Linked DNA regions of Ovis aries. The protein of the gene in region 2 purifies or fractionates together with the protein of the main gene of each other region. This does not show direct contact. Links are inferred from orthologs where the notes say so. Each region holds a gene or a part of one and is shown on either strand. Other genes may lie near its edges.

Region 1 (3,745 bases), on a different chromosome or scaffold from region 2:
TTCAAGAGGGAAGTGACCCTGCTTACCTATGGCTGATTCATGTTGATGTAAGGAAGAAACAAACACAATACTGTAAAGCAATTATCCTTCAATCAAAAATAAAGACAAAACAGAACAAAAAGCAGCTGTATAAACATGCTTTGTTTATACAGTAGCATGTTTTCATTTCAAAGGTCCTGTAAAACATGTGCAACTTATATCCAACTAACCAGAGGTACTACTAGTTAAAATTTTCTCTATATTAATATGGATTTGCCTTAAGAAAGTTGATCTTTCAAATCTAATTGTATATAACAAACAAGTTAGTGGGTGATTGTTACAAAGGATTCCCCCTTGACTAATAATGATTTCACTTAAAAAGTTTATAGCTTTACGAAAATGAAATACATAGTCATTTGTTCTTCAATATTGTTCATTAGGAATCCCAATGAAGACACACATTAGATGAAATATTACCTTTTTATTGTATAGTGTACTGTATACAAGAGGTGCTCAATAAACTTTCTGGCTTTTAAACTAACTTTATAGTGTTCACTGAGCTGAATACTTCATACTAGTGGTATCAAACCACAGTGATTTTATCTTGAGTAGTTTATTGTAATCAATTACTTCCAAATATCTTTATCAAGGCGGTAAAATTGTAACGTGACGATCAAATTGTAAATAAATTTCCGATCAAATTGTAAATAAACTTCCGGGCAGAAAACTTGGTGAGTAGTGATGATTTCTGGAGCGCGCTATGGTAGACACACTTCTCAAATTTATGCAGCCGTATATTTACGATTTGAAAAAATCTTAAGAAATTTCAAAACATACTTTTCCATCTAGGATTTTTTCGCAACTGCAGGAACGGATTTAAATAATAGATAGACTCTACCTTTCCAGGCACTAGAGGGGCTGTGACTCGATGGAGAGGTGGGCGGCGCTCAGCAGGCTCCCAGGCAATTCTTGCACCTGCCTCGTCGCGCCTGTGCTTGTAACCATAGCAATTACTGCCCAGGAAGAGGTTCAGAAATGTCTGATTTGCAGCTCCATTCTATCTTAAAGCAAAATCGCCCTCATTTGCTATGTTACTACGTTCCCTTTTCCTCTGCATCTCATCGCTTGTCCAGGGTTGTAGAAGGCCGGAGATTCTTTTACCTCACAAAGGTTATGAGAGGAATAGCAAACTGAAAAGTAACTATGGAGACCACCCACTCCGTGTAAAATGACGAAGGGGCACACGGAGACGATAATGGGAACGCGCCTACAGACTTCGAAAGCTATTAACATTGTTTCGGCCGTTAAGGCGGTTGGCGGCAACTCTCCGCCCAGCGGCGGTTGCGTCGCAGCCCGAAGCGTGACTCGGCGCACGCTCTCTTTCGGCTCCTCGGCTCGACGAGCCAGCTACGCGGCGGGGGCGCGGGGAACTACCGCTCCCGTGAGGCTCTGCGCGGCCTTGGGTACTTTACAACAGAGCTCGGTCGGAGGGGCCTGCGGAGAAGCGCCGGGAAGTGCCGCTTCCGGCATGTTCAGCTCTGGACGAAGAATGGCCGAGAAGTGGAGGGTGGGGGAGAGACTCCAATGCCCAGCGGGCCGTGCGCGGGCGGCGCTTGCGCGATACGCGGACGGGGGGGCGGTCGGGCCATTTAAATGTGTGTTTGTGGGTGAAATGGCTGCGCAGGTCGGAGCGGTGCGCGTAGTACGGGCGGTGGCGGCGCAGGAGGAGGCGGACAAAGACGGGAAGGAGAAACCCCACGCTGGGGTCTCGCCGCGGGGAGTTAAGCGGCAGCGCCGAGCGAGCAGCGGGGGGTCTCAGGAGAAGAGAGGGCGGCCGAGCCAGGACCCCCCTCTCGCTCCCCCTCACCGGCGGCGTCGCAGCCGCCAACATCCCGGGCCGCTGCCGCCAACGAATGCAGCCCCAACCGTCCCAGGCCCTGTTGAGCCTCTGCTCCTGCCGCCTCCGCCGCCACCTTCGCTGGCACCCGCCGGACCCGCTGTCGCTGCCCCGCTCCCGGCCCCGGGCACCTCGGCCCTCTTCACCTTCTCGCCCCTGACGGTGAGCGCAGCCGGGCCCAAGCATAAGGGCCACAAGGAGCGGCACAAGCACCATCACCACCGCGGCTCTGATGGTGACCCCGGCCCCTGCGCTCCCGGAGAGCTCAAGCACAAGGACAAGCAGGAAAACGGCGAGAGGACAGGAGGGGTGCCTCTCCTCAAGGCCCCCAAGAGAGGTGAGAGCAGCCGAACTGCCCCGAGCTCGGGCTCTATCTGGGTCTCTCTCTGTTTCGATATCCCGCCCCTTTAATCCTGAAAGACGCCTGCCCTCCGCTTACCTCCTGCTGCTCTACTCCCCTAAGCCCACTGGGGTGGACCCTGGATTTCCGTCCGTCGACACGGTCTGACCTACTTGAAGCTTCTTGCTTCGAGGCCGAGCTGTCAGTTACTAACCCCCTTACCATTCCCCCCTCCCGGAGCCTTTACGTTTGTTTTCAAAATCGTCAGGGTTTCCGCGCCGCGCGATCCTTGGCATGGGATAGTATGTGGGGTATTAAAAACTGTCTGAAGTAAAGGCTTGTCGCTAAAACACCCCCCCCCCCGTTTTCCTTGATGGAAAGCTCCACAAAATTAACGAGTATGGTTTGGGGCTATTAAGGAGTTTGAATTTTTACCGAGATTAATTAGCTCGACTCACAGGTTGCCTTAGCTTCTGAAAGATGAGATATCAAACACAGTTTATCTTGTGTGTGTTTTCTTTTTAATGTGGAGGTAAAAATCATTTTTAATTTTCAGGAAAGGGTTTTCTCTCCTCTTTGATCCTTGAAAATAGTACCAGCCGAGCCTCTGAAAAGTGGAAATGTTCAGTAGGCGATAGTAGAGACAAGAATTCCAGTTGCATTTTAATTAACCTGGCACAACAAATTGAGAATTTATTTCCAGTAGACTTACTAAAGTCAAGAATATAATCCAGAAGATGTAGGACTCTACTAAGTGAGTGTGGGTTCTAGAGAAATTAGATTCACAAAAATTGCTGTTTTCCTATTCGAAAGTACCTGTAGCATTTATTTTCATTCTCTTTGGTAGAGGGAGGCGGGGGCGCGGATAAGAATTTTGACTATGCCATGTATTTGTACTTTGTAGGTGATTTTATGTAATTTCTTAGCATTATCTTCTGAAGAGTTTAAAATACTTCTGTGTTCTTAGTACTGGGGCAGTTGAGTTATGTGTTAATGAACTAGTCTTTCAGTCTCAGGTTGGGTGAGTTTTGGCTTTCTTACACATATTTAAATGGTCTTAACCTAGGGCTACTTAGTTTTGTGATGGTGCAGTTTGTTGCAGATTACTGCTCAGTAAGTTTTTATTGAACTGAATTAAATTTTTCTTCCTTTGTTGGTATCTGAGTCTTATTCTGAGGAATAGAACTTGTGCCAGATGGACAGGAGTGCCAGTTTCCACCACCAGTATACAATAATCTTGCTCTGTTTTATTTTTACCTTTATTTTTCACTTTTTCATTTCATATGTGTATGTATTTTTGTGGGTTTTAATTGTATAGAGCCAGAGGGAATCTCAGAGATCATCCAAATCAAATTTGTATTGTAGAAGAATGAAAACCCAGGCCTAAAGTAGCGAAGAGACTTGTCTAATCTAGTCACGGTTAATTAGTAACAAGTAAAAAATCATTGGCATAATAGAGAGTAGAACCTAGATCTCCTGAATCCTAGTTCAAGCTTCATTGTCCAGCTGCATGTGTTGCTTTCTCATAC
Region 2 (3,745 bases):
GTCAGATTTTAGACAGATTTGGAAGGAAATGAGGAAGAATTCTTTACACGGAATCAATTGGGAGTGCTTTGAGGGATCCAGAGAAACTCGGTGGGAAACTCAGAGACATTCAGAGACAGACTTAGAGAGGCTGCGCCTAGGTCAGCAGTGGAGATCGGCCCCGCTGGGTCTCCCACCTCCCCCTGCTTCCCCATCCAGCTTCCCAGTGTCCTGAACTCCAGGTCTATCTAAGCACACGGGGGTGGGGGGCGAGAGCGGGTCAGCGCCGAGCTGCCGGGTCAGCTCTGAGGCCTGAAGGGGAAGGGAGGGGGAGGGGCGCTCCAGGGCTGGGGGAGGGGGAGGGCTCATCCATTTCTCCCTTGACAGGTGGTTTGTGTCTCTGATTGGCCAGCGCTGCCAGGCTCACACCTCCCTCCCCCCCAACTCTCTGGAATGTATAATTATCTGCACGGGGGGTGGGGGTGGTGTATAAGTGTGTGTGTGTGTGTGTGTGTGTGTGTGTGTGAGCAGTCACGTGGCTTTAAAACTGCACCCCCCCGCCATATGCCCCCCACCTGTATGCTGCTTTGGGGACCCCCGCCTAGTTCTTAAAGTGCAGGATCCCAAATTCCCGGGTACTCAAGACTTGAAGGGTTGACGGCCCCAATCTCCAGATGTGCGTGTGGGGAGGGGGTGTCAAACCTCTAGGTTCTGAGAAGGGACACCCCAGAGGTGTCAGAGACCGCCGTGGTGGGGGAGGGCCAGAGCTGGAGCCGGAGGGAAAAGGAGGGGAAAGGCGATGGAGGGGAGGGGAAGGGAGGGGAGGGGGGCTGCCCGCGGGGGGTTGGGTCATTGTCTTTTAGAATTTGGGAGCCTTTGAAAAGCCGTGGGCCCTCCCACCGCTATTGTGCTGGGGAAGATGTAGCTGCCTCTTCCCCGAGCCACCCCTTTGCCTCCGGACTTCTCTGGGGCCAGCAGCCGCCCAAGCGAGGGCCCGGGGCCGCGGGCTCAGCAGACTACCATGGGCTCTGTGTCAAACCAGCAGTTCGCAGGTTCGACCTCGGGACTTACTAGGGACACCTTAGGCGACAGGGGCGCCCCGAAGCCACATGAAAGAGAGGTGGTGAAGTGTCCCCCAGGCTAGCCCAAGGACTCCAAGTCTGTGCGGCCTCCTGCTTCTGGGGGCCATCTCTGGAGCCAGGAACCCTGGTGTCCCAGTGGCGAGCAAGCTGAAGGTCCGGGGGCGGGGGGAGAGAAGAGGAGGGGCCTGTCTGGCCGCATGTCCCCGGGCAACGTGTTGTGGAAAGAAAAGCAAAACTTTCGGGGCACCGCTGGCCTCAGTTTAAGCTGGGGGAGCGCGGGAGGCGGCCGGGACAGGTATTTTCTCGCCGGCTGCTCGGTAGCTGCAGCCTCCTGGTTGTCCAGCCTCGGGCTGGACCCTCGGGTCTCCTTGCCGGCTCTCTGCTGGGGGTCCTCCAATTCCGTGGCCCCCCAGCTGAGCGCCTTCCCAATCTCCAGGTGGCTGCGCTAAGGCGCCGGAGGAAGCGCCGGAGGAGGCGCCGGAGGACGCGGCCCGCGCGGCGGAGGAGCCGCAGCTGCTGCACGGTGCCGGCATCTGTAAGTGGTTCAACGTGCGCATGGGGTTCGGCTTCCTGTCCATGACCGCCCGCGCAGGGGTCGCGCTCGACCCCCCGGTGGATGTCTTTGTGCACCAGGTGAGAGCGATTCTGGTAACTTTGCCGCAGGAACGGGATGTTGGCGCGCGTATCCGAGAGTGGGCGGACGGACTCGGCTGTTGGGTTTGAGGGGAGATCCAGGGCCCTCATTGTGCGTTCCCGTCTTTGCCGAGGAACCCCAGTTCTGAGTCCCTATTAACTCCAACGGGACGAGAGCGGGGGAAGAGCCGATGATTAACACCCCCACCCCCTTCCGGGAACCCCTCTGGTTTACCACGTGTCTGTTACCTCTTTCCCCTGGGCAGGGGGCAGGGGGCAGGGAGGTGATCCCATGTGGCAGAACTAAGGTTGTATTGTGCTTGCCAGTGGGGGGAGGGCGAGCGGGCCGGCCAGGGAAGCACATGCCCGGTCAGAGCAGAGCCCTGAGCGCCCGCGCGTTTCAGCATCTTGTGAATGGAGGTCCCGGCCTGAAGGAAGGGAGGAAGACGGCTTCGGGACCCAACGGCGGAAAGCCGAGAAGTCTGCCGGGTCCTCACACCCAGGCGGTCACCAGGCCCTGGGGTTCTGGGTGGGTTTGGTAGATCCTTGAAGGATCTATTTGGGGGGCTTGGAAGTTCCGCAAGAGCACAGTGTCAGGCACATGGATCACTAGCGGGGCTCTTACTGTCTATTTCCTATTAGGAAAGAAAAGGCAACGAGGCCGGTCTTCGACTCCTGAGCCAGCCGGGGCGGGAGTTAGGTCGCAACCCCAAGTTCTCAGTTAAAGCAAGGCAGCACGGGGTGGGGTTGGGGGGTGAAATTCAGTGTCGCAGGGCAGGGGGTGGAGAAAGGCTAGCCTCAGGACCTATTCTCCTCAGCTTGGCATTTATGGCCCTAGATAGCCATTGATTGCCGTCCTAACATTCCCAGCCTCAAACAAGGAACCAGAGACTTCGTCTTCCCCCCTCCCTGGCCACCCCTTCCCGAGTATCTTGGAAGCCTCGCATAACCACTGTGTAGAGGAAGTTGTTGCTTGCGCTCCCTCCATCTTTGGAGGTTTGGGGCTGGACCTGAGAAGAAATTGCTAATCTCAGACCCAGGAGGTTGACACCCAGGCCGGGCATGGAGGGGTTACTTTGGGGAGGTTGGCTTTAGGAGCAGTGGGGGAGGGGAAAGGAGGATGTGGGGATTAAGGGTTGGAGCCTGAGGGATGGTATTCTGGAGGGGGAGGGGTGGAGAGGGAGATGCTGGGTAGACTGTTTGGAGGGAAACAGCGGGGAAGTCCCCACATGGCCCTCAGTGAGGACGCGGAATGGGGAAACATGGGAGAGAGAGGACGCAAGGAGATGGGGATCCACCAGTTAACGCTGGGATCACCGGGCTCCTAGAACATCTGCCAGAAGGGTCAGCTGCAGAATGCTTGGCTGCCCCCTGGCTTCCCCTGCTTCGGCGACCCCCAGCTTTACCCCCTTCCCTTCCTACAACTAATTCTGGCTGGTGGCTAGCCCCACTTCCTGTCTCATTTACATATGTGAATGATAACCCACAGGAAGTAATTGTGGGCGAAAGAAGGGAATTGGCCTCTTTAGATCTATTAAATCACTTTATTACAGGAACCAGCTTTGAATGGCCCTCCTCAGCAGGGTGGCCAGCTCCCCATTTATCTGGTCACAAAGAGATTAAAATCTCTCCCTGTCTGGAGACAACTGGACATCTTCCCCAACTTTGGAAAGCTTGGAATGAAAGAGTCAGACCCAACATTTTCTTGCCTCCCTTCCAAAGGCTGCCACATAGGGAAAGATGGAGGGGAAGGTAGTCCCTCTGAGCTTCTTTGGTGATATCCAACTCCCAAAGAAGGTTTTCCTGAGCAAATGGATCTGTGCCTCAGCCCACTTAACCTTTATAAAGGATCAAAAGCAGTTGGGAAATACGGGATGGCATAAAAGAAAATGGGGACTAGCCTTCAGATTTGGGGAGTGGAGCCCACACTATGCTGTTTCACATGGGTTTGCTGGGAGATAACCTGGACTTGGGGTCTTGGGATGTCCAGGGACATTCCACAGTTGAATAAGTTATCAGGAGGAGTTGAGCTGGGATAAGGAATCAAGAAT

What was found. The genes of interacting proteins can lie anywhere in the genome.
Region 1: the proteins of LIN28A (region 2) and RSBN1 purify together in Homo sapiens (co-immunoprecipitation; 3 studies listed by BioGRID and IntAct, with this or other methods). This does not show direct contact. The link is inferred for Ovis aries from reciprocal best matches to the Homo sapiens genes LIN28A and RSBN1.

Annotation. Positions count from the first base shown.
Region 1 is NC_056054.1:91,120,698-91,124,442, reverse strand, and holds the start of RSBN1 (lysine-specific demethylase 9), read left to right. Parts: upstream 1-1,444; 5' UTR 1,445-1,507; coding exon 1,508-2,213; intron 2,214-3,745. UniProt on the Homo sapiens protein: Histone demethylase that specifically demethylates dimethylated 'Lys-20' of histone H4 (H4K20me2), thereby modulating chromosome architecture.
Region 2 is NC_056055.1:240,443,258-240,447,002, reverse strand, and holds the start of LIN28A (protein lin-28 homolog A), read left to right. Parts: upstream 1-922; 5' UTR 923-1,000; coding exon 1,001-1,031; intron 1,032-1,497; coding exon 1,498-1,694; intron 1,695-3,745. UniProt on the Homo sapiens protein: RNA-binding protein that inhibits processing of pre-let-7 miRNAs and regulates translation of mRNAs that control developmental timing, pluripotency and metabolism.